4 linked regions of the Saccharomyces cerevisiae S288C genome follow. Changing the gene in region 3 together with the main gene of any one other region gives a genetic interaction. Each region holds a gene or a part of one and is shown on either strand. Other genes may lie near its edges.

Region 1 (4,347 bases), 550 kb from region 3:
TCCTCAACGCAGGCATATCTTCACCTGGACATGCAAATAACAATGGCAATGGAATGGGCCTTTGGAATACCTTATGCTGGTGCCATTTATTAACTGCTTTGGCCTTTAAAAATAAGAGCATATTATCTAGAAGATAAAATTGTATGTCACCAACAACTGTTCCGTCCGATTTTGACAACTCCTTCCGTGATAGTATACCTTCATGTTTAATTTTTCTCCTTTCGTCATTTAATCCTAAATTAACGTATTCGTTTTTGAAAAGAATCTTTTGTTTCAACAATTTTACATCATGTCTATCTTGTGCAGCACCACTTGCTTGATCAATCCTTTTCATAAAATCCCTTAATGCATCCATGGCTTTGCTTAAATCTTCATAATCACTTTTGTCCTTCTCGGGGTCAGTAGATTTCATGATTTCTTTGACCAATAGCATATATCGACCTGGTCTTGAAACACCTTGAGATAAAAACGAATCAATACCATGACGTAAGGAGGAGCTCATCATATCGTCATCAAATCTAGCAAAATAGGGATTGACTGATCTTTGGGTTTCAATCAAGTACTTCGCATATGGTCTTGAAGCGACATATGAAACAAATGGTTCAAAAAATGGAATGAATCTTAAAACAATGTCCCCAATTCCTCTCACAACTGGTGAACTTCTTTGCCTATCAGTTAAAGCCTTCAAAAAACGTCTATTCACTGAATAGATATCGTTTATATGTGCAAAAACATGCTTGATGAAATTTTTTCTAATATCTGCTGAAATAATATTTGTTTCAGCCAAAGTCTTCATGAATGTGTCTCTTGTAATTTCTAATGATTTTACAAAGTTCTTCTCCGTGATATAAACTTCATAAATAGCCTCTTGTCTTTTTATTTCCTTTTTTGGTAAGTTTTCCCAATCCTCTTTAGATACGGAACTTGTCCAAGATGGCTTTTCTTCGTCATCATCATCCAATGCCATTGATATATTACGTTTCAGGCCGCCATTTGGTTTCAGATTTAACCTTGCTTGTTGCTCAAGACGTCTTGGACACGAAATAGAGTAACACAAAGCGTCTCTTGTGCACGTAGGGGAATAGCATTCCGCCAGTAATGTAAACACACCATTGACGTTATGAATGGCTGCAGGGTTCTTTTGCTGGGACAATGAACTACTCATATGTAGCCTCGACCCTGTCAAAGTTGCCTGATCACTATTCAAAGATGAAGTTGAACTTGATGGAACCATTCCGGAATTCGGATAAGAGTGGTTCCCGGAATTAAAAGATGATGAGTTTGGGAGTAGCATCAGTGGATCATGGGCGTTTGTGGAACCTGTTCCTGTAAATCTTGAGTTATCTGTAAATTCGTAAACTTCATGTGGTGAATCTCTTAACCTGTGCTCGTATACCACATCATGGAACAGCTTTTGTGCATCTAGTGATCTACCAAATAACAAGGCTAAGTTTCTATCAGAAGTTCTAATGATAGCACAGATGACATCGACTGCCTGCTGCCCTGTAAATGCGTCACGGTAAACTAATCCATCCTTCTTATGTTCCCCGAGTTGTATCGAACTTTTAAATTTTGTGGCGACTCTTGACAACAAAGCTGGATATACCTGAGGTTTTTTTGATGAAGCGCTCATAACAGGTCTAGATGCCGACAAAGGTGTCATACTACTTCTACGTGGAGAAGATAGAGAAGTTCCTGAAACCGAAGTGTATCTTTTTAAAGCTAATGAGGTGGAAGAAACTCTCGTTTTAAGACCCAACCCAATATTAGACGAGCTTCCCATAACACTTGAGGAGTTTCCAGACCCGTGGACATTATTTAGGCTACTGTGACTGTTTGAAGAGTGATGATGATGATGATGATGATGAGGATCTGAGAATGGGTTGGAAGTTATATCATATTTTTGCGTAGCTTTCCTGCTGTTAGAAGTCTTCGATTGAAAAGATGATGCAATATTTTTTAGAGTAGATGAGTTCAACGACATCGATCTAGATGATATAGAATGTGAATGTTGAGGGTAATTACTGTTACTACTACCCACTTGATAATGTGCGCCATTATTATTAGTATTATTATTATTATGATTGTTAATATTATTATGCTGAATATGCTGGTGATGTTGGTGCTGTTCGTGCAAGTCTTTGGAACTTGGTCTCGAAAAGAAACCAAACCCTTGCAAAGGCGATTTTCTAGCCTGTGTAGGAGTGGTTGATGCACTGCCGGTGGAAAAACTGCTCTGCTTCTTAAGACCAGCAAGTGCTAGTTGCGGGAGCGAAGGTTTCCTCTTAGGCACAAAAGCTGTAGTACTTTTATTCTTCTGGTAAACTTCATTTCTTGGAGACATTGGAGGCAAAGGGTGGTCATTATAGTGCTTGGCTTGTCTACTAGCACTATTACTCGTTGAATATATATGGGACATCGATTTAGCATGAACAATGGGATGGGAAGATGTGGCATCTCTTGCCTTCTTTGGACTGCTCACAGGTGTATTATCAGCACTAGACAAACTTTGTGTATCTGGAACTTCCTTAATATTAGTCTGCTGCGATAAAATGTAATTTGAGCTTTTCCCCTTCATTTCGTTATTTGGTATATCAGAATCATCGATGGCGGCTTCAACTCCAGAACGTCTCCTCTGCTTGGCAATAATGATGTCATTAGCAATGTCTTCAGAAAGCAGAACATTTAGATTCTGGATATTTTCGATTCTATTAGGCAGCAGCTGAGAACTTATGTCTCCGTGCGAGTCACTATCAAAAGTAGCGAAGGAATCTGGCCTCCTTTCTACACCAAATATTTGGGAGTATATGTCATTTCTGTCCCCTAAGCTGTCAACGTTGGTTTCGCTCATAACCGCAGGAAAAGAGATGAATTGTCCAATTAAGTCAGCAGTAATAGAGCACTGTAATCGATTACACTAACAGAGCGAATGAATATATTAATGACCACAAACAACAAATAAAAAAATAGCTATAAAACAGCAAAAAAAAAATCCAGGAAAACCTAATCGGCTCAATACTGTTATTAAATTAGGTCGTCAGTACTCACTGGTCATAATGCCCTTTAAAAACTTTCTTCAAGCCTTAGGACCTCGGACTTCCATACCATTGTTTTCACTATCATTCTCTCTCAGTTTCACAGACTCGGCCGTTACGCGGATCATCCACCACGAACCCCTATCCTTTCCGTTGCGGTTTGGTTTAGTATAACAATGAATAACAATAAATTAAACACTTGGTGCGCAGTAACAAACATCAATAAAGGAAGATTATTGGTATTATCAGTCTCTCCACTCCCAGTATATTAATAAATGCCTGCGTATCACTCGACTTTCCCTGTAGATCCTAACACTGACCGCATGGTAGGGAACTTTGCGCTTCTGCCCTTGAACACTAAGTTCAGGGGTCCTGCATACCCCAGCAATTCCGATTACGATATTATCGACGAGTGCTTGGACCTATTTCGTGCCAATTCCTTCTTCAAGAATTTTGAAATTAAATCACCCGCCGACAGAGTGCTCATCTACGGAATTCTCTTTATCAATGATTGCCTAGCCCATTTGAAAATAACAACGTCATTTAACGAAGCCGTCAAAGTGTTAACCAATGTGGCCTTGGACAACTTTACTTTACCAGGTACACCGGGTTTCCCTCTGAATAATGTTTACCAAGTTCCAGTACAAGATCATAATTCGATGGACTTGTTGAAGACTTATATTCAGCAATTCCGTCAAGAATTGGCAATGAGACTATTAGAAAGAGTCTATAGCTCTACAGATTCTAAGGAATATCCCTCAAAGTTTTGGTTGGCGTTCACAAGAAGAAGATTCATGAACAAATCTCTATAAAGGTATACGGTGCAAGGAAAATAATAAAAACTAGAATTTATGGGAACATAATAATCCACATGCAACTTTATTTGAACCGAAAATTTGAAACGGGAAAGAAATATATAAATGTATAAAGTATAAATACGTCAAAATATGCTTTAATGAACGATATACACGTTAATATACAAGTCTTATTTGTGTTTTGTTCACTTATTTACCTTGATTCTGCTGGTTTTTTGTTGCGCTTTGGAATAATTTTAATGCCCTACCCTGTAGCGCATCCGTAGCTTTTTTTATTCCGTTTACATCAATTGACATGTCATTTTCGTTAGCCTTAAAATTCTTTATAGCTTGTCTCAGAGCTTTGATGTCCTCTACGATATTAGAATACTCTTTTTCGCTAGAAATCAGTTTTTCATATCTTTTAAATAAATTCTCAGTATCACTTATCATAATGTCAGCCTTAGAGATAAGCTCTAACCTTTGCCTGATCAAGTTATCTTGTGCCCTATTTGCAT
Region 2 (6,220 bases), on a different chromosome or scaffold from region 3:
TTTATTCAGGACGCTGCCAAGGCTGGTGCTAATGGTTTTATCATCGTCGATTTGCCACCAGAGGAGGCGTTGAAGGTCAGAAACTACATCAATGATAATGGTTTGAGCCTGATCCCACTAGTGGCTCCTTCTACCACCGACGAAAGATTGGAATTACTATCGCATATTGCCGATTCGTTTGTCTACGTTGTGTCTAGAATGGGTACTACTGGTGTTCAAAGTTCTGTGGCCAGTGATTTGGATGAACTCATCTCTAGAGTCAGAAAGTACACCAAGGATACTCCTTTGGCCGTTGGGTTTGGTGTCTCTACCAGAGAACATTTCCAATCAGTTGGTAGTGTTGCTGACGGTGTAGTGATTGGTTCCAAAATCGTCACATTATGTGGAGATGCTCCAGAGGGCAAAAGGTACGACGTTGCTAAGGAATATGTACAGGGAATTCTAAATGGTGCTAAGCATAAGGTTCTGTCCAAGGACGAATTCTTTGCCTTTCAAAAAGAGTCCTTGAAGTCCGCAAACGTTAAGAAGGAAATACTGGACGAATTTGATGAAAATCACAAGCACCCAATTAGATTTGGGGACTTTGGTGGTCAGTATGTCCCAGAAGCTCTTCATGCATGTCTAAGAGAGTTGGAAAAGGGTTTTGATGAAGCTGTCGCCGATCCCACATTCTGGGAAGACTTCAAATCCTTGTATTCTTATATTGGCCGTCCTTCTTCACTACACAAAGCTGAGAGATTAACTGAGCATTGTCAAGGTGCTCAAATCTGGTTGAAGAGAGAAGATCTTAACCACACGGGATCTCACAAGATCAACAATGCTTTAGCACAAGTTCTTCTAGCTAAAAGATTAGGCAAGAAGAACGTTATTGCTGAAACCGGTGCTGGTCAACACGGTGTTGCCACTGCCACTGCATGTGCTAAATTTGGCTTAACCTGTACTGTGTTCATGGGTGCAGAAGATGTTCGTCGCCAAGCTTTAAACGTCTTCAGAATGAGAATTCTCGGTGCTAAAGTAATTGCTGTTACTAATGGTACAAAGACTCTAAGAGACGCTACTTCAGAGGCATTCAGATTTTGGGTTACTAACTTGAAAACTACTTACTACGTCGTCGGTTCTGCCATTGGTCCTCACCCATATCCAACTTTGGTTAGAACTTTCCAAAGTGTCATTGGTAAAGAAACCAAGGAACAGTTTGCTGCCATGAACAATGGTAAATTACCTGACGCAGTTGTTGCATGTGTTGGGGGTGGTTCCAACTCTACAGGTATGTTTTCACCATTCGAGCATGATACTTCCGTTAAGTTATTGGGTGTGGAAGCCGGTGGTGATGGTGTAGATACAAAGTTCCACTCTGCTACTCTAACTGCCGGTAGACCTGGTGTCTTCCATGGTGTCAAGACTTATGTCTTGCAAGATAGTGATGGTCAAGTCCATGATACTCATTCTGTTTCTGCTGGGTTAGACTACCCAGGTGTCGGTCCAGAATTGGCATATTGGAAATCTACTGGCCGTGCTCAATTCATTGCAGCTACTGACGCTCAGGCTCTGCTTGGCTTTAAATTATTATCTCAATTAGAAGGTATTATTCCCGCTTTGGAATCTTCTCATGCTGTTTATGGCGCTTGCGAATTGGCTAAGACGATGAAGCCTGATCAACATTTGGTTATCAATATTTCTGGTAGAGGTGATAAAGATGTCCAAAGTGTCGCTGAAGTCTTGCCGAAATTAGGTCCAAAGATAGGTTGGGATTTGAGATTCGAAGAAGACCCATCTGCCTAATGAGTAATATCTGATAAGGAACGCTTTTATTTAGCTTTTTAACTACATAGACGAATATAATATACGATCGGGATACATTAGCATATTCAGCTCTTTTACCTCTCAATTTGCTCAAGATTAGTATCGTGACCAATTTTAGATCATTTCGGTCAGAACAGCCACATTTTCGCGTAATTTAAAAGTTCAATTATTGTATGCGTGACACACTATATTAGCGTCAACTGTTAATAAGGAAGTAGTGGATAATAACGGTTCAGGTTGCTTCACAATGCTTATTTCAAAATCTAAGATGTTTAAAACATTTTGGATACTAACCAGCATAGTTCTCCTGGCATCTGCCACCGTTGATATTAGTAAACTACAAGAATTCGAAGAATATCAAAAGTTCACGAATGAATCTTTACTGTGGGCACCGTATAGATCCAATTGTTACTTTGGTATGAGGCCCAGATATGTCCATGAAAGTCCACTAATTATGGGTATCATGTGGTTCAACAGTTTGAGTCAGGATGGCTTACATTCGTTAAGACATTTTGCAACGCCTCAGGATAAATTGCAAAAGTATGGTTGGGAAGTGTATGATCCAAGAATTGGTGGTAAAGAAGTTTTTATTGATGAAAAAAATAACTTGAACTTGACTGTTTATTTTGTAAAGAGCAAGAACGGGGAAAATTGGTCAGTGAGAGTTCAAGGTGAGCCTTTGGATCCCAAGAGACCATCTACAGCATCTGTCGTATTGTACTTTAGTCAAAATGGTGGCGAGATAGATGGAAAATCTTCCTTAGCAATGATAGGTCATGACGGCCCTAATGACATGAAATTCTTCGGATATTCTAAAGAATTAGGCGAGTATCATCTTACAGTAAAGGACAATTTTGGTCACTACTTCAAAAATCCGGAATATGAAACCATGGAAGTAGCACCAGGAAGTGACTGCTCTAAAACAAGTCATTTATCACTTCAAATCCCGGATAAAGAAGTTTGGAAGGCTCGTGATGTTTTCCAATCTCTAGTTAGCGATTCGATACGTGATATACTGGAAAAGGAAGAGACAAAGCAGCGTCCTGCTGATTTAATACCAAGTGTTTTAACTATTAGAAATTTGTACAATTTTAATCCTGGTAATTTTCATTATATACAAAAGACATTTGATTTGACCAAAAAAGATGGGTTCCAATTTGATATCACTTACAATAAACTTGGCACTACTCAAAGTATTTCCACCAGGGAACAAGTTACGGAGTTGATTACTTGGTCACTAAATGAGATAAACGCGCGTTTTGATAAGCAGTTTAGTTTTGGAGAAGGTCCCGACTCAATTGAAAGCGTGGAGGTCAAAAGAAGATTTGCTTTAGAGACGCTATCAAACCTATTAGGAGGAATCGGTTATTTCTATGGGAATCAACTAATTGATCGTGAAACAGAATTTGATGAGAGCCAGTTTACAGAGATCAAACTGCTGAATGCAAAAGAGGAAGGTCCATTTGAACTGTTTACCAGCGTTCCGAGCCGTGGCTTTTTCCCACGTGGATTCTATTGGGATGAAGGTTTCCATCTTCTACAAATTATGGAGTATGATTTTGACCTTGCCTTTGAAATCTTAGCGAGCTGGTTTGAAATGATCGAAGATGATAGTGGTTGGATTGCTAGAGAAATTATACTGGGTAATGAGGCAAGGAGTAAAGTTCCGCAGGAATTTCAGGTGCAAAATCCCAATATTGCTAATCCGCCAACTTTATTGCTAGCATTTAGTGAAATGCTTTCTAGGGCCATTGAAAACATCGGCGATTTCAACAGTGACAGCTACCACCAAGTCATGTTCAATAGTAGGACAGCCAAGTTTATGACGAACAATCTAGAAGCCAATCCTGGCTTGCTAACCGAATATGCCAAGAAAATTTATCCTAAGCTATTGAAGCACTATAATTGGTTCAGAAAATCTCAAACAGGACTTATTGATGAATATGAGGAAATATTGGAAGATGAAGGAATATGGGATAAGATTCATAAGAACGAAGTTTATAGATGGGTTGGGCGTACCTTCACTCATTGTTTGCCAAGCGGTATGGATGACTATCCTAGAGCACAACCACCAGATGTAGCAGAATTGAACGTAGACGCATTAGCATGGGTGGGCGTTATGACAAGATCCATGAAGCAAATTGCTCACGTGTTGAAGTTAACACAGGACGAGCAAAGATATGCACAAATTGAGCAAGAGGTGGTCGAGAATCTGGATTTGTTACACTGGAGTGAAAATGACAATTGCTACTGTGATATTAGCATCGATCCAGAAGACGATGAGATTAGGGAGTTTGTATGTCATGAGGGTTACGTCTCCGTATTGCCCTTTGCATTGAAGCTAATCCCCAAAAACTCACCCAAGCTAGAGAAAGTAGTTGCTTTGATGAGTGACCCAGAAAAAATCTTTTCAGACTACGGGCTGTTATCACTATCGAGACAAGACGACTATTTCGGCAAGGATGAAAACTATTGGAGAGGCCCAATTTGGATGAATATTAATTACTTGTGTCTTGACGCAATGAGATACTACTACCCAGAGGTGATTCTCGACGTGGCTGGTGAGGCTAGCAATGCCAAGAAACTGTACCAAAGTTTAAAGATTAATCTCAGTAACAACATATACAAAGTTTGGGAAGAACAAGGTTATTGTTATGAAAATTACAGTCCGATAGATGGTCATGGTACTGGTGCTGAGCATTTCACAGGCTGGACAGCACTTGTTGTCAACATCCTTGGACGCTTCTGAATCTATGTAGATATTTTCAGTCATATAAACAGATATGTAACCAGATATGTACCAGTATGCAGGATGAAAATTATAAATGTTCCAGCTATTCGAAAAGGGCCTCGCATCTCTTAGTTAGAGCCAGCATTTTCAGCTTTTTTTTTCTCGCGTTTATTTACATTTCGATGCGGCTGTGAGAAAAAGTTAAAAAATCGTGGAAACCAGCAACTGGTAACTAGCAGTCTGGGCCATTGCAGCTAAAAGCCAGACAAATAAACAATCGAAAACACACTCGAAACATGCATTATGAAATGTCACATTTTTTTTTTTCTTTTGGGGATTAATGGTTGCGAAGTGAGGTCTTTTCTATTTACTGCGGTAAGATGAATAAAAGTTAGGGAATGTTATTGTTTACAAGCTGGATACTAGATCTCAAAATGTTAAAGTGTAAGGACTGACAACAAAATATGCTGCACCGAAAACAAATTAAGAATCTGAGGAGGGACTATTTAAGTGGAAAGAAAATTGAAGTTCAATGATCGTGTTTTCCTTCTGCTTATCCAAATACACTGTTATATATTAAGGCAACAGTACTATAATCGTCAGTTACGCAACAAAGACAGTCCACTCTTTTAGAAGAATAAGCCTTTACTGACATACCTCCACTGTAATAAATCTATTCTATTCTCTGTACTGTTTATCGACTTATTATTACGCTACACTCATTGATATAATATCTAATAGAAAACCATCATGATTTCACCCATAAGCTTTCTATCATCGCTGCTATGCTTAACTTATCTAACCTCAGCTTTACCGATTCTTCCTAAGAGAGAAGTTGTAACGAGAGTTCACACAGCAAGCACAACTAATGTTGTGACTGATTTTTACTCCACTACTACCGAAGTTGTTATTGCCCCAACTGTCGAATTCCTAATAAGCGATAGTGTTACCTTTACAACAACCTTAATTCCACAAGGTGTGAACCCAACAGCTGAACCAACTACGACTATCACTAAAGTTCTCTTAAAAAAGGCTGAAATGAGTACATCTTCGCAGCCAACCTCTACTTTGCAGCCAAGCACTATTCCACAATCAACCTCCTCTTTTCAAGCAGAATCTACTTTGCAAGCCGTCTCTACGCAACAAACTGCTATGTCTGTTTCTGCAGGTACTAGTGAGGATGTGCAACAATTAGCTACTACTTCTACCTCTATCTCCTCCTCTCCTTCCCCTACCACTACGTCTACTTCCACACAAAATATCGTGAGTGGTGTCGGTGAAGCCAATGTTGAAGGCAACACTCAAAGTCAGCATCATTCTTACCAAGCAGCTGCGACTTCAACTTTGAATCAACAAACGAGTACCTCAATTGCTTCTCAGGAGTCCACCGAATCAACCAATACACCTACGTCGTCCTCTACGTCGTCCTCTACTTCTTCTTCTACTTCTTCTTCTACTTCTTCCTCTACTTCTTCTTCTACTTCTTCCTCTACTTCGTCCTCTACTTCGTCCTCTACTTCATCCACACAGGAAACAGCCGCTACCACCTCTGAAGGTTCCTCTAGTAGCAGCGCTGCTATAACTTCTTCTCCAAAGGCTATTGCATATTCACCATATAATGATGATGGCTCTTGTAAGTCTGCAGACGCTGTCTCTTCTGACTTAACGTTGATCAAATCTAAAGGT
Region 3 (6,406 bases):
ATGTTCTTGAATGGATTTGTGGTCTCCAGAAGGGTAGCATACTCGCCCACAATATCTTCAATGATATAATCTATAGTATCAGGCAAAGTGGGAAGAGGTAAAGTTGGGATAGACGAAGATGGTGCTATAGCCCCGTACAGGTTTTGGTATGTATCCGAATCCTGATAGAACAGCGGAAGAAGAAAAGGACACCTATGATAGGGTGAATCGTGTATTGTTATATATCTGCGTTGTTCTGATCTTTTTTTATCGATATCCTTGTATTGCTCAAAGTTTGTAAATCTTAATTTTGTTTCGAATTTGAGAAATGATGTGTCTACGCCATCGCCCATCACGCAATTTAACGAAATTGTCAATTTTGGAATTTTCACGTCTATTCTTTGTGAATATTTTTCGTTTTCAAAGTCGATCAAAGTAAACAATATCGATTCAGCACTAATAACTGATTGAGATTTCATCACCGGATCTTTAAGGCCTATTCTTATTTTTTCAACGTGCACGGTTAGCGAGGTCATATCATTAATGGTCTCAGTGTCATATAATAATATATTTTCCAAGTCATTGTAGCCAAAACCTATCTTATAAAAGGAATTAAAGAATCCCTTTATAAATTCAATATCTGAATCAATGCATAAATCTCCGAGATTGATATCCCATTGACAAAAGTAGGTAGGTTCTGTGGGTGGTAATCCATACATTCTATGTCCATGAATGGTGAGGTCCGAAAGCAATCCGTGCTCTTGCTCATCAGCTCCGTTATTACGACGTATAAAATCAAATACTTCATTTATTTGTTTTGAAACGTGCCGCTTTATTGAAGTCCCGTTGAGAACCGCCATTATGTCCATATAATAATTACAACTTCTGAAATCCACTACAAGTTCGGCAAAATGTAGTGCAATGCATGGATCAAAACTGTAAATCGTTTCTGGTAATATCAGAGCACCATCCCAAACCGAAAATGTGAACCAAATATCAGTTTCGTTGGTAGTCCTTTTCAAATCTGACCTTTTCATAGGACCTTTATCCTCAGATTCGTTCTTTAGACTGCTATTTTGGTACCCTGAATCTACAGTAGATGCCAAATCTGCCACCGAGCTTTTCGTAGTGACATCTCCGACTTCCCTAGCGCCAAGGACACCTGTGTACTCTTCTGACGTCACAAAATTAAAAAATTCACCGAAGTAATTCATCTTTACGTTTGTTAAATACCTCATGACAAACCCATAGCAGTGAAGTACTGTACTCTTGCTGTTACACTCTATGACTAGCGTATCGACATTATCAATATCTAACTCGGAATAGAGAAGGTAAGAACCTTTAATTGTAAAGTCGTATGCTCTCCCCACTTCTTTATGTTTCATGAATTCGTTCAATGTATTCCAAGGGGGGGTATTTAACATCATTCTGAACATTGGAGTTGAGATCTCGTAGGACATATCTGTGTATGTCCCCAAAATACTCTCACGGGGTACCGTGACATCAATTGAAAGCTTATCACCATGAAGGGATAAATAACAGTTTTCGTTAAAATCTAACGGATTGTTAACAATATTGTGATCATTGACGTTTAAGTAAATGGAATATCCTTCCATTTCCCAATTGACTTTGTATACGAATGGTCTAAAAAGTTCGTAAGGCGTAGGATCACCAGCGGAAAAGTCTGAAAGCGTATCTGCAACTAAAGTTATATGCTCACGTAGCAGAAACGCCTCTAATTGTTCTGACTTCATGTTAATTATCCATATAGCTTTGCTATTCCAACCCAATGGATATCCAATATCCCCATCAATATCGAATACCTTGCTTTTTAACAAAATATCGTGATTAACACTTGACCTAATTTCGGTTTCCAGGAAATGAACATGGAAATTATTCTGAAAACCTTGCACTGTAGGACAAACACTTATATTGAAATTTGCATAGGTGTCCTTACAAAATCGGAGATCCATCCATCCAAATGGCCTATATTCTTCATTAGTTTCTTTGTAGTGTTTCAAAAATTCGGGGTCTTTGCTACTTTCCCTCGTCGGTATACGCCAAGTAGTATCTTCCATTATTGATATATTCATCCTGAAAAGTGTATATATTCTTCTAGAACCTGGCGGGAGTTTTTTTATAGGTTTGGCTGTCCTTGAAACTACCGGTGATAGAACTCTTTGTAGATGACTGACTTGTCTTTGAGCCCAAGGTCCGTAACAGATGGATCCTCCGTGAATTTGAACATCTAAAGCAAAATCTGGAGGTGCTCCGTTATTGCCCACATCTGGTCCATCAATATCAGGTATTGTCGGATGTGCACCATGTGGCACAACGCCCGGAACATCCACGTCATATGCAATTGTGACCTTTGGGCATTTTAAAATTGATGTAAATTTAGCATATTCATGGTTCGTCAAATCGAACTCAACATCATCTAAATCACTTGCTTTAGCGTCGCCCGCAGAAGCCTTATAAAGAGATAAACCTTTCCATTTATGATAGAAATTGTCATCTGATGTGCCTGCGCTTTTTTTAGTCTTTTTCGGTACAACAGGCTTGGTTACTATCTGAAAGACTCGTACAAACGTTTTCCATAACTTTGACACTTTCCCTCTATCTATTTTAAACTTCAATCCAATAGCATCATCGTAACCAATATTTTGTTTGATAGAAATTTCGAAGTTTTTGAATTCCATCTGTGTTTTATTTCTGTATAAATCTAATCGCTCTTTTGGAGGTAAAACATCTATTATGCCTTTTCCACTTTCATAACTTAGAATCATAACAGATGGCGTGAATTTGTTTCCTAACAGTAGGGAACCGCGGCTAAATTTAAGCTCAATTGGTAAAAACATCAGTAGCTTTGGATGTTTGCCGATATCTGTTTCTTGGTAGTCCCTGTCATTAACAATTGATGCATCAGAGTTCGTTGTGTATGCAGATTCGCTTAGATCTTCATCTAATTTATCAGCACTACTTCCATCGCTAAAAGGTTCAGGAAAAGAATGCTCATTAAGGTATTTTTCAAATTTATCGCGTTCATCTTTTGATAGTAAGTTTATAACATTATCGTACGCCACTGTTCTGTTGTAAATAAAAATTTCTAGACCTTCACATTCTACGGAAATTTTACAGGGAAGCTTTGCTTTTTTGCCAGAAGAAGACTTGTTATTCTCTATCAATTCTGCTTTTCTGCAATTTAAAAGCCAGTATTTCCATGTTAAACTACCCTCTAATACCGAAATTGTATAATCTTTGTGTATTACGGAAAGGTTTTTAAAATGTATTCGACCACCTAGTAAGGAGACACGAAGTGTCTCAACATTTATCTTGATTTTCGCTCGTTTCCATAGTAGCCATTCTAATATAAAACTTACAAGGTATGCATAGATTCTTCCCATGTAGAATATCATTGTCAAACATACTACTACCGTGAGAATCCAATCTACTAAAAAGACCCAGCTAAAGTCCTTTTGGTGTGTCAATGGAACACCACGTAATTGTGAAATAGCTTCCATGCTTGCTAACTTATTACCGTCAATAGAAGACTTGAGTCAGGTGGCTTTAATGAGTACTATTCTTTTTTTTTTTCCAAAGAGCACTATGTTGATAATACCGCAGTAATTTTTTTTGAGTATCCTGTAGCCTAGAAAGGTTGAAGCTTATAAAACCGTGCCAACAGCTTTATAGTGGGGAGTTTGGCTTCCCTCTATTTGTATATTGATCGCCATCCCTACGAAGTTATTGGGAACGCATCGTGAACCTCTCACTTTAATGCCAGCGGTAGAAAAAAAAGTCATAAACAATACACGCCGGCTACACTTAGAAAGAAATGACATTTGCTGTCTTATAAAAGGACTTGACAGACCAAAGACGCGTATAATACACCAAGAATGGCCTTATTGGAGAAGTTGCATCGAAGGATTGTTGATATGGGGCTTGTCCCGCGTATAATCGCCTTATTACCAGTTATTTCCATGCTATGCGCTCTATTTGGGTTTATTTCTATAGCTATTCTGCCTATGGATGGACAGTACAGAAGAACATACATTTCTGAGAATGCATTGATGCCTTCACAAGCGTATAGTTACTTTAGAGAATCTGAATGGAACATTTTGAGGGGCTATCGATCTCAAATTAAAGAAATGGTAAACATGACTTCTATGGAAAGAAACAATTTGATGGGTTCTTGGTTACAAGAATTTGGTACTAAGACTGCTATTTACGAAAATGAACAATATGGAGAAACATTGTACGGTGTAATGCACGCTCCTAGGGGTGATGGAACAGAAGCGATGGTGCTTGCCGTTCCATGGTTTAATTCAGATGATGAATTCAATATTGGCGGCGCAGCTTTGGGTGTATCTTTAGCAAGATTTTTCTCACGTTGGCCAGTATGGTCCAAGAATATAATTGTTGTCTTCAGCGAAAATCCTCGTGCAGCATTAAGATCATGGGTTGAGGCATACCATACTTCCTTAGATTTGACTGGTGGTTCCATTGAAGCTGCTGTTGTGTTGGATTATTCGAGTACGGAAGATTTCTTCGAGTATGTAGAAATCTCATACGACGGTCTGAATGGTGAGCTGCCCAATTTGGATCTTGTCAACATCGCTATATCCATTACGGAACATGAAGGTATGAAAGTTTCTTTGCACGGTCTACCCAGTGATCAGTTAACTAATAATAATTTCTGGTCAAGATTAAAAATATTATGCCTGGGAATAAGGGATTGGGCGTTGTCCGGTGTTAAAAAGCCCCATGGTAACGAGGCATTTAGCGGCTGGAGGATTCAATCTGTAACATTGAAAGCACATGGAAACAGTGGTCATGATATTACTACATTTGGACGTATACCCGAAGCAATGTTTCGCTCTATTAATAACCTTTTGGAAAAATTTCACCAATCGTTCTTCTTTTATTTGTTATTAGCACCACGTCAGTTCGTATCCATTAGTAGTTATTTGCCAAGCGCTGTGGCTTTATCTATAGCATTCGCCATAAGTTCATTAAATGCATTTATAAACAATGCTTATGCAAATATATCCTTATTTTCCGAGTATAATTTGGTAGCGTTGTTGGTTTGGTTCGTGTCATTGGTGATATCATTTGTTGTTTCACAAGCGTTTCTTCTAATACCTTCATCGGGATTATTGATGACAATTAGCATGGCATCTTGTTTTTTACCTTTGATACTTTCCAGAAAAATTCACATCTCAGAACCACTATCATACAGGTTGAAAAATGTTGCTTTTTTATATTTCAGTTTGGTTTCAACATCTTTGCTAATGATAAACTTTGCAATGGCTTTACTGATCGGCACATTGGCATTTCCTATGACATTTGTGAAGACCATTGTTGAAAGTTCTAGCGAACATGAGGTGACAACTCAATCCTCTAACCCAATAAAAACTGAGCCGAAAGATGAGATAGAGCTCGTCGAGAATCACATGGATACAACGCCAGCAACCCCCCAACAACAGAAACAAAAACTAAAAAATTTAGTACTATTAATTTTGACAAATCCATTTATTTCAATAACCTTATTCGGACTATTTTTTGATGATGAATTTCATGGATTTGATATAATAAACAAACTGGTTTCAGCATGGTTGGATTTGAAATGTTGGAGTTGGTTTGTACTTTGTATAGGTTGGCTTCCATGTTGGCTATTGATATTAGCGTCATCGTTTGAATCTAAATCTGTCGTAGTAAGGTCGAAAGAAAAGCAAAGTTAGGTGCCATTGGTAAGAAGTAAAGGATTAACGGGTGTTCGAACTACGCAATTGATTTTATACGCACAAACATTACAAATCGAAGCAAAAGAAGATGAAATGATATGATATACTGATACAAATATGTATTAAATAAAACATAAGTATTGATGGAAACATGGCATAGAGAAGCGAAGATGCGATAATATCAAATAACTATATGTGAGTTGTGGAAGAAAGAAACGATCACATTATTATAATAAACTAGCTATTTAAATGTTTATTGAAGACTGTTCTGCCCCCTTTTATTCAGTCACGGTATTGGTCAAAAAATTCTTTATGGAAACTTTCCCATTTCTTAATCCATTCCAGACCAGGTGCCAAAAATGTTGTTCTTAAATGGTAAGTACCAGGTTCTTGACCAAACCCAGAACCGGGAACAGTGCAAATGCCAGTAGATTCTAACAACTTCTTACAATAAAATTCATCCGGAGTTAACTCTAAGTGGCGAGCTTCTTGAACTGCCTTGAAAGGTAAGTCTATCTTAGGGAATAAATACATGGCACCTTGAGGCTTTTGACATTCAATGCCTTCTAAAGAGTTAAATGTCTCATACAGTGTCATTGCTCTTGTAATTAACTTTTCATGGATGGAGTTACGTTCTGCTTGGTCCGACTCGAATGATTCCTCCCCTTCCACTGGTGGACGAA
Region 4 (7,320 bases), on a different chromosome or scaffold from region 3:
TATGGGCCAATCATTATGGTTCTTGACCCCAAGGTATTGAGAAAAGTTCCTGACTTCGTGGCCGCCGACATTCTTATTTGATTTCGTCCCTGAAGTAAAAAAGAATTTTAATGTTCTGTGATATACTGCCAAAACTGTGAAAATGGCATTGATTGTGAAGAAATCTATTAAAAATGGCCTATGGTCAAAAAGCACACGGAATGGTAACGAACTCCTGTCCAGTTTGGCAAATAATACAATAATCGCTAAACACACAAGAATTTGCTGGAATTTTATTAATGTACCCTGGGAAAAATTTTTTTTTTTCAACCATTGTGTTAATTTTGCGATCTTTAATTTGGAGGCTATAGCTTCCACAAGAAAGTGTGCGATAATCCACGAAGGTACCTCACCCTTGGTAAGCATTAACGATATTCCTACAATGGAAGACCAGTGAATATAATGATTTTTTAAAAATGGGAACTTCATCAAAGTTGGATATAGTATGTTCAGCAAGACTAATATAGTAGACTCTCTTAGCCATGGCATGATATCATTTATTTGAATATTTTCACCCTGTAATTTTTTCAATTTCCATTTTTTGACATAAAATACTAGGTTTATTCCATAGACTTGGGTTATTCTTTTCAAGATGATGACGAGTTGTTTTCTTCTCTTCTTGTTCAAGAGGAGTAGAAGCCTTCTTATTATCTGCTTGAAGCCAGAAACTGCTTTCCCAGTACCATTTGGACGATTGTGTTTCATATAGTTAGCAAGTGTATACTCTCATTAGCTCTGTTCGCGATGTGTATTTCGTGGTGCTTTATATAGGGTTTTTAACTTTTCCCCATGAACATTCGCTGTTATGTATTCGCAACTAAAAATAATGTCTCTCTTTAATTTTAATTTACATCCAAAGTACGGAAATGGTAACTAAACTATATACAAAAAAAGTTCGCTCAAAAAAAAGTTTAACTATTGTCCAATTGTGCCCATTTTGGTAAATCTGTTTTGAACTTGAATTTGCCATTAATCTCCTCATACTTCCAAGCATGCAACCATAATTCTAGGTCTGATAGCACAGGATCCTTTAAATCAACAGTATGACATTCAGGACAAAATGTTTCCATTGTCCGACAATTATTTTTTGTCTCATCGACAAATTTTTGAAACCTCACTTTCAATTCCTCAGCATCTAAATCCTGCTGATTCTCCCATCTAGGAAACTGAGTTATAAACTTAAGCCTTTCGGGGTATTTTGTAATATGCGAACAATAAACACTATCGTTGACGATGGGATGACCGAGCCTAGCTAAATGGATTCGAATTTGGTGTGTTCTTCCAGTTATTGGCTTACAAGCGACGACAGTTTCATCAGCATGAGAGAAGTATCTTATTGGGTAGAACTTGGTAATAGCATCCTTCGATGTCGATAAACCAACTGGAAACTGTCTCTTTGGATCGATAGAATATATGGGTGTCATTTCCACTGTAACTTTGGAAGTGTCCTCAAAAGTCGTTTCCGCCGCATTTTCATTGTCCAATATCAATTCGGAGTGAGGAAATCTTCCCTTGACCCTTGCCAAGTAGATCTTAATCATATCTCTTGAACGAATACTCTTCTGGATTTCCCCCGCACTCTGACTGTTCTTGGCCAATATCAACAAGCCTGATGTGATCTTGTCTAACCGATAACAAGGAAGAGCATCTACACCATGTAACTTCAGTAATTCAGTAATTGTGTTCTGGTAAAACTGACCGGTTGGATGCACTGGTATACCACTGGGTTTATCAATGACGAGGATACTCTCATCTTCAAAAACAATATTGAATCCCGCTATTCTGCCAGGTAAATCCTCCGCTTCAACTTCCTGGCTACACCATTGTTTTACCGGCGGTTCGTGCTTATGCGTAGTTGTTTCTAAAACATCATGATTCTTGATTATGGTAGTCATGAGATGATCTGGTACCAGCGGCACACCATCTCGGATCAACCTATATGTGCCTTTCCTTATTTGGTCCAAATAATAAGCTCTTGGGCGAAGTTTAAATTCACTAACGAGAACGTCTATTAGTAACTTACCCAACCAGCGCCCCTTCACGAACGCTGATCTTCTGTTATAATAGGGCCGTACCTTTCTCAGTCCATTCTGTGTATATACCTCAATAACTTTGATAGTTGACATACTTGACAATCATCCTTTTGCCCACTGATTGTCTCGAGCAATCGTCAATAAAGTTTTCACAAGAAACATTTATTTGCCTTTTAATGAAAGAAAAAAAGTAAATTTTTCATTAACTTTTATCATTGTTATCAATCTTCTTGTATGACAGCAAGCTATATATACATACATATGCAAATCTAATGTACATAATTTCAACTATTCATACCATTAGTACCATAAAGTCATTCTTTTTACTGTAAACTACACTTGCATTATCCTTCCTCGTCCCTCTTTATTCTTATAACGTTGAACAGTGATTTCTTACCATGTGTATTTTTGTACTCAACCCGCAAAAGATAAGCATCCTCATACAGAAGTATTATTATTACCACTGTTACTTTTATTGTCGTTATTTGTCTTGCGTTTTTATGTTTATGGAGATAAAGTGGGAATGACTTTATCATATGCAATTATTAGCCGCTATAAGGCTAAGATTCTTCAAATTTATTTCATTTTTCTTTTACCCTTGCCACCCTTGCCCAGTTGCTCCTCCTCTGCGGTTAGCAACGCATCGCGCTCCTTTTTAGCTCTTGCTTTTTCTTGTCTTTTTTGCTCTTCCTCTAATTTTTTGGCATTCTCTTTCCTCGAACCTTGTTCCCATTTAGAAGCTTCCTCCGCTTCTAGCTGCTCCATTTGTGCTCTTTGTTTAGCATGTGCCTGATCTCTTTTTCTTGCTAAGCCAGCTGCTTTCTTTGCGGCGGATTCTGAAAATCTTTTACCCATCTTTTTACTTCCTCTTTGCTATTCTATTATTTCCTGTATAGGCAGGTTTTGTGCTCAATTGATAAATTCTTTTACCTATTAAATATAAACTTGAGTTTCAACTTATTCAGCTTTATTTTAAACATTATACAAGTTTTTCATTTTGAGGGGTCTTTAACTGGAAAAAAAAAGCTTTCACGACTCAAAGAAAAAAAAAAAAATTTTTTTAGGGTAAAAAAAAACTAAGGGCTAATATGAAAAATACAAAGGTTATGTTACTTTAAAATGAGGTTTGGAAGAAGGAGAAAGACAAAAAAGCAGGGCACATGTCAAACTCTTGGAAACTTGAGATCCTAGCCCTAACGCATGTGCTACTTCAAGGAATTCTTCTTATATATGACAACTATTCCAATTTGATGCTAAAACTAGCCCAAAGTGGTTGATGCTGTATCAATTGGTAAAGAATCCTCGATTTTCAGGAGCATCCAACGACGAAGATGAGGATTATTAAGGGCAGAAAGCGAGGCAAGAACAAGAAGCCAACGCTAATTTTAAAAATTCATGTCATTCAAGCTGAAAATATTGAAGCCTTGAAGACATTCAATTGTAACCCGGTATGTTTTGTTACCACTAATACATTTTATAGTCAAAAGACGAACAAGCTCAAGAACTCAAATACACACTGGAATCAAACCTTGAGGATCAAACTTCCGAGAAATCCAACATCTGAATGGTTAAGGATTATAGTATACGACGCCCTACCAACCGGAGCTCCCCCTACTACCCCCAGTAGACCAAGGACAACCACTGCAAATACATCTTCATCGACACTGTCAAATTCAGGGCTAAGTTCTCACTCTCATTCGTCGAGAAATTTGAATGTTACGTCCAAAGGTAATCAAACTTCAACATCAATTAATTCAGTATCATCTTCAGCTACACCGGCCCCTTCACATTCTTCCTCTTCTCTCTCAACAACAGGTCCCGGGTCCACACACAAAAATAGGATTAATAGCTATCTATATTTGGGTGAAGCAAAAATTTCATTACTGGATTTATTCAAGAGGAAGGACACCACGACGAGCTATAAATTTTCAATTGAAGCTCAGCGGTACCATCTATACGATATGAAAGGAGGGAAAGACCAAGATTCCTTGAACTGCAACTTTCTAGTGGGCGATATTTTGCTTGGATTTAAGCTAGAATGTAACGTTAAAAGAACCCCGACTTTTCAGGCTTTCAATGCTTGGAGAAATGAGTTGAACACTTACTTGGGCAGAATAGATAGAAATAAGGCCCGCATGAGATCTTCTAGTTCTTTGCCACCTCCACTAGAAGATATGTTGAGCAATAGTTCAGCTGTTAGTGGAAATGAAATACGACGCGAGAAACCATATAGCGATACTGATCTAGCCCACGATGAAGAGGTCAATGCCGAGGATGAAATAGATGCTGAGGAATCTATTGAAGATATGAATAGCAGCGGCAGCATTTGTACGGAGAGGAGGTACGATATAGACAATGATACTATATTCGACTCTATATCTGAGGTTGTTTCGCTAAATGATGAAGAACTAGATATTCTAAATGATTTTGAAGAAGCAGATCATCCAAATGTGCCAGACATAAATGTGCATGACATCGACGAAGATACCCGTATCAGTCTATCTTCAATGATAACAGCTTTAGATGAATATGATATCGTAGAACCAGAAGATGTTGCAAAATTACCTGCAGTGTCGGAAAATGACATAACATCAGTGGATGACGAAGAATCTGAAAACCAACAGGAAAGTGATGAGGAGTTTGATATATATAATGAGGATGAGCGTGAAGATTCTGATTTTCAATCAAAAGAATACATTGGGAGTCGGCTTTTACACCTGCAAAGGGGTAAACATAATAAATCATATGCAAATTACTTATACAGAAGAGCAAAAAGTAACTTTTTTATATCGAAAAAGGAACATGCGATGGGGGTAGTATTTATGCATATTGGGGCTATCAAAAATTTACCTGCATTAAGGAATCGGTTGTCCAAGACTAATTATGAAATGGATCCATTTATCGTTATTTCGTTTGGTAGAAGAGTATTCAAGACATCTTGGAGAAAACATACTTTAAACCCAGAATTTAATGAATATGCCGCTTTCGAAGTTTTTCCCCATGAAACGAATTTTGCTTTCAGTATCAAAGTTGTTGATAAAGACTCATTTTCATTCAATGATGACGTTGCAAAATGCGAACTGGCTTGGTTTGATATGCTGCAACAGCAACAACATGAAAACGAATGGATACCTTATGAGATACCATTGGATCTCACTGTTGAGCCAGCACATGCTCCTAAGCAACCGGTATTATATTCGAGCTTCAAATATGTTTCATATCCGTTCTTAAAAAAGAGCTTTTGGAAAGAAGCTGTTGACACATCAGTCAACTTAGAGAGACTCGACATTATTCAAGTAATGCTCTATCTTGAACGTCTTGGTTCATTCACGATGGCCGATTCTTTTGAACTCTTTCAGCATTTCAATAAATCTGCTTGGGCCGGCCAGAGCATTACTAGATCACAATTAGTTGAAGGGCTACAGTCATGGAGAAAATCCACTAATTTTAAACGCATCTGGACATGTCCTAGATGCATGCGTTCATGCAAACCAACTAGAAATGCTAGACGTTCTAAACTGGTTCTAGAAAATGACTTGATAACCCATTTTGCCATATGTACGTTTTCAAAAGAACACAAAACTTTAAAGCCGTCGTACGTCTCATCTGCATTTGCATCCAAGAGATGGTTCTCTAAGGTTTTGATAAAATTAACTTATGGTAAATATGCTTTGGGATCTAACAATGCAAACATCTTGGTTCAAGACCGAGACACAGGGATAATTATTGAGGAAAAAATAAGCGCACACGTAAAGTTGGGAATGAGGATTATATACAATGGTAAAAGTCCCGAGTCTAAAAAATTTAGATCCCTCTTGAAGACTTTATCAATCAGGCAAGGCAAAAAATTTGACAGCACTGCATCTGCCAAACAAATTGAACCTTTCATAAAGTTTCACTCGCTAGACCTTTCACAATGCCGAGATAAAGATTTTAAAACATTCAATGAATTTTTTTACAGGAAACTAAAACCAGGAAGCCGGCTGCCTGAAAGTAATAATAAAGAAATATTGTTTTCACCAGCAGATTCAAGATGCACAGTGTTCCCAACTATACAAGAATCGAAGGAAATATGGGTGAAAGGAAGAAAATTTTCTATTAAGAAACTAGCCAATAACTATAATCCGGAAACATTTAATGACAATAACTGCAGTATTGGTATATTTAGACTGGCGCCACAAGATTATCACCGGTTTCACTCACCATGTAATGGTACGATTGGAAAACCTGTATATGTGGATGGAGAGTATTATACTGTAAATCCAATGGCCGTTCGTAGTGAGTTAGACGTCTTTGGTGAAAATATCAGAGTTATTATCCCCATCGATTCTCCTCAATTTGGCAAACTACTGTACATACCTATTGGTGCAATGATGGTTGGATCCATACTATTGACCTGCAAAGAAAACGATGTAGTTGAGAGTGGACAGGAGCTGGGCTATTTTAAATTTGGAGGTTCTACTATAATAATCATTATCCCGCACAACAACTTCATGTTTGATTCCGACCTTGTGAAAAACTCTTCAGAACGCATTGAAACGTTAGTCAAAGTCGGGATGAGTATAGGACACACATCAAATGTGAATGAATTGAAGAGAATCCGTATTAAAGTAGACGACCCAAAGAAAATTGAACGGATCAAGAGAACAATTAGTGTTAGCGATGAAAATGCCAAGAGTACAGGAAATGTAACATGGGAATATCATACTTTACGGGAAATGATGAATAAAGATTTTGCTGGGCTATGAAGCCGCCGAAAAATTGGCTGTAGTTAGTGGTTACCAAAATGGAAAAAAAAAAAAAACATGAACAATCTCCCTCAGACTTTATTATAGACTATAGCGTGTACAAACAAGTCATCGTTGATAATGAAAGCAATGGTTTCATACCAGGAAATTTCCTATGAAAAATATGCATTTTTATTAGTAACAAAAGAAACTATATTCCTAGTCCTCTTGCAGAAAATACGATATAATACTTAAGTTAATATTTACAGTGCAGTAAGTACCTTTTTCATGACCTCATATTCGTTTGTTCCTCTTGCAACCTGAATGGAATTTTTTTCAAAGGTACTTCTCGGCCTTTCTTGTTAGATTGCTTTCCATATGTTTTATCGGAACCCAATCTAGCATAATTTATAGTCCTTTTCTCCTTTGAAACATCAATACGATCTAGGAAACTTTGTGAGAGAGATGGTATAATGGATTGGCATAAAATGGAGAGGATTCTAGACGTTTCCATAGCCAAA

What was found.
Region 1: mutations in CSF1 (region 3) and ARC18 together harm fitness more than expected from each alone (negative genetic interaction), as found in Saccharomyces cerevisiae (3 studies listed by BioGRID).
Region 2: mutations in CSF1 (region 3) and CWH41 together harm fitness more than expected from each alone (negative genetic interaction), as found in Saccharomyces cerevisiae (3 studies listed by BioGRID, with this or other methods).
Region 4: mutations in CSF1 (region 3) and PSD2 together harm fitness more than expected from each alone (negative genetic interaction), as found in Saccharomyces cerevisiae (4 studies listed by BioGRID, with this or other methods).

What each region holds. Positions count from the first base shown.
Region 1 is NC_001144.5:861,218-865,564, reverse strand, and holds ARC18 (Arc18p), read left to right. Parts: upstream 1-3,310; coding exon 3,311-3,847; downstream 3,848-4,347. Other genes in the region: Rho family guanine nucleotide exchange factor ROM2, read right to left, coding at 1-2,851; Hsp70 family ATPase SSQ1, read right to left, coding at 4,040-4,347. UniProt on the Saccharomyces cerevisiae protein: Functions as a component of the Arp2/3 complex which is involved in regulation of actin polymerization and together with an activating nucleation-promoting factor (NPF) mediates the formation of branched actin networks.
Region 2 is NC_001139.9:441,974-448,193, reverse strand, and holds CWH41 (mannosyl-oligosaccharide glucosidase), read left to right. Parts: upstream 1-2,050; coding exon 2,051-4,552; downstream 4,553-6,220. Other genes in the region: tryptophan synthase TRP5, read left to right, coding at 1-1,782; SCW11 (putative glucan endo-1,3-beta-D-glucosidase), read left to right, coding at 5,285-6,220. UniProt on the Saccharomyces cerevisiae protein: Cleaves the distal alpha 1,2-linked glucose residue from the Glc(3)Man(9)GlcNAc(2) oligosaccharide precursor highly specifically. Seems to play a role in beta-1,6-glucan synthesis.
Region 3 is NC_001144.5:312,232-318,637, forward strand, and holds the start of CSF1 (Csf1p), read right to left. Parts: upstream 3,501-6,406; coding exon 1-3,500. Other genes in the region: GPI-anchor transamidase subunit GAA1, read left to right, coding at 3,876-5,720; alanine transaminase ALT1, read right to left, coding at 6,006-6,406. UniProt on the Saccharomyces cerevisiae protein: Tube-forming lipid transport protein which provides phosphatidylethanolamine for glycosylphosphatidylinositol (GPI) anchor synthesis in the endoplasmic reticulum. Required for the glucose and other nutrients uptake at low temperature.
Region 4 is NC_001139.9:833,739-841,058, forward strand, and holds PSD2 (phosphatidylserine decarboxylase 2), read left to right. Parts: upstream 1-3,403; coding exon 3,404-6,820; downstream 6,821-7,320. Other genes in the region: PEX35 (Pex35p), read right to left, coding at 1-744; pseudouridine synthase PUS6, read right to left, coding at 951-2,165; LSO2 (Lso2p), read right to left, coding at 2,649-2,927; methionine--tRNA ligase MSM1, read right to left, coding at 7,086-7,320. UniProt on the Saccharomyces cerevisiae protein: Catalyzes the formation of phosphatidylethanolamine (PtdEtn) from phosphatidylserine (PtdSer). Plays a central role in phospholipid metabolism and in the interorganelle trafficking of phosphatidylserine.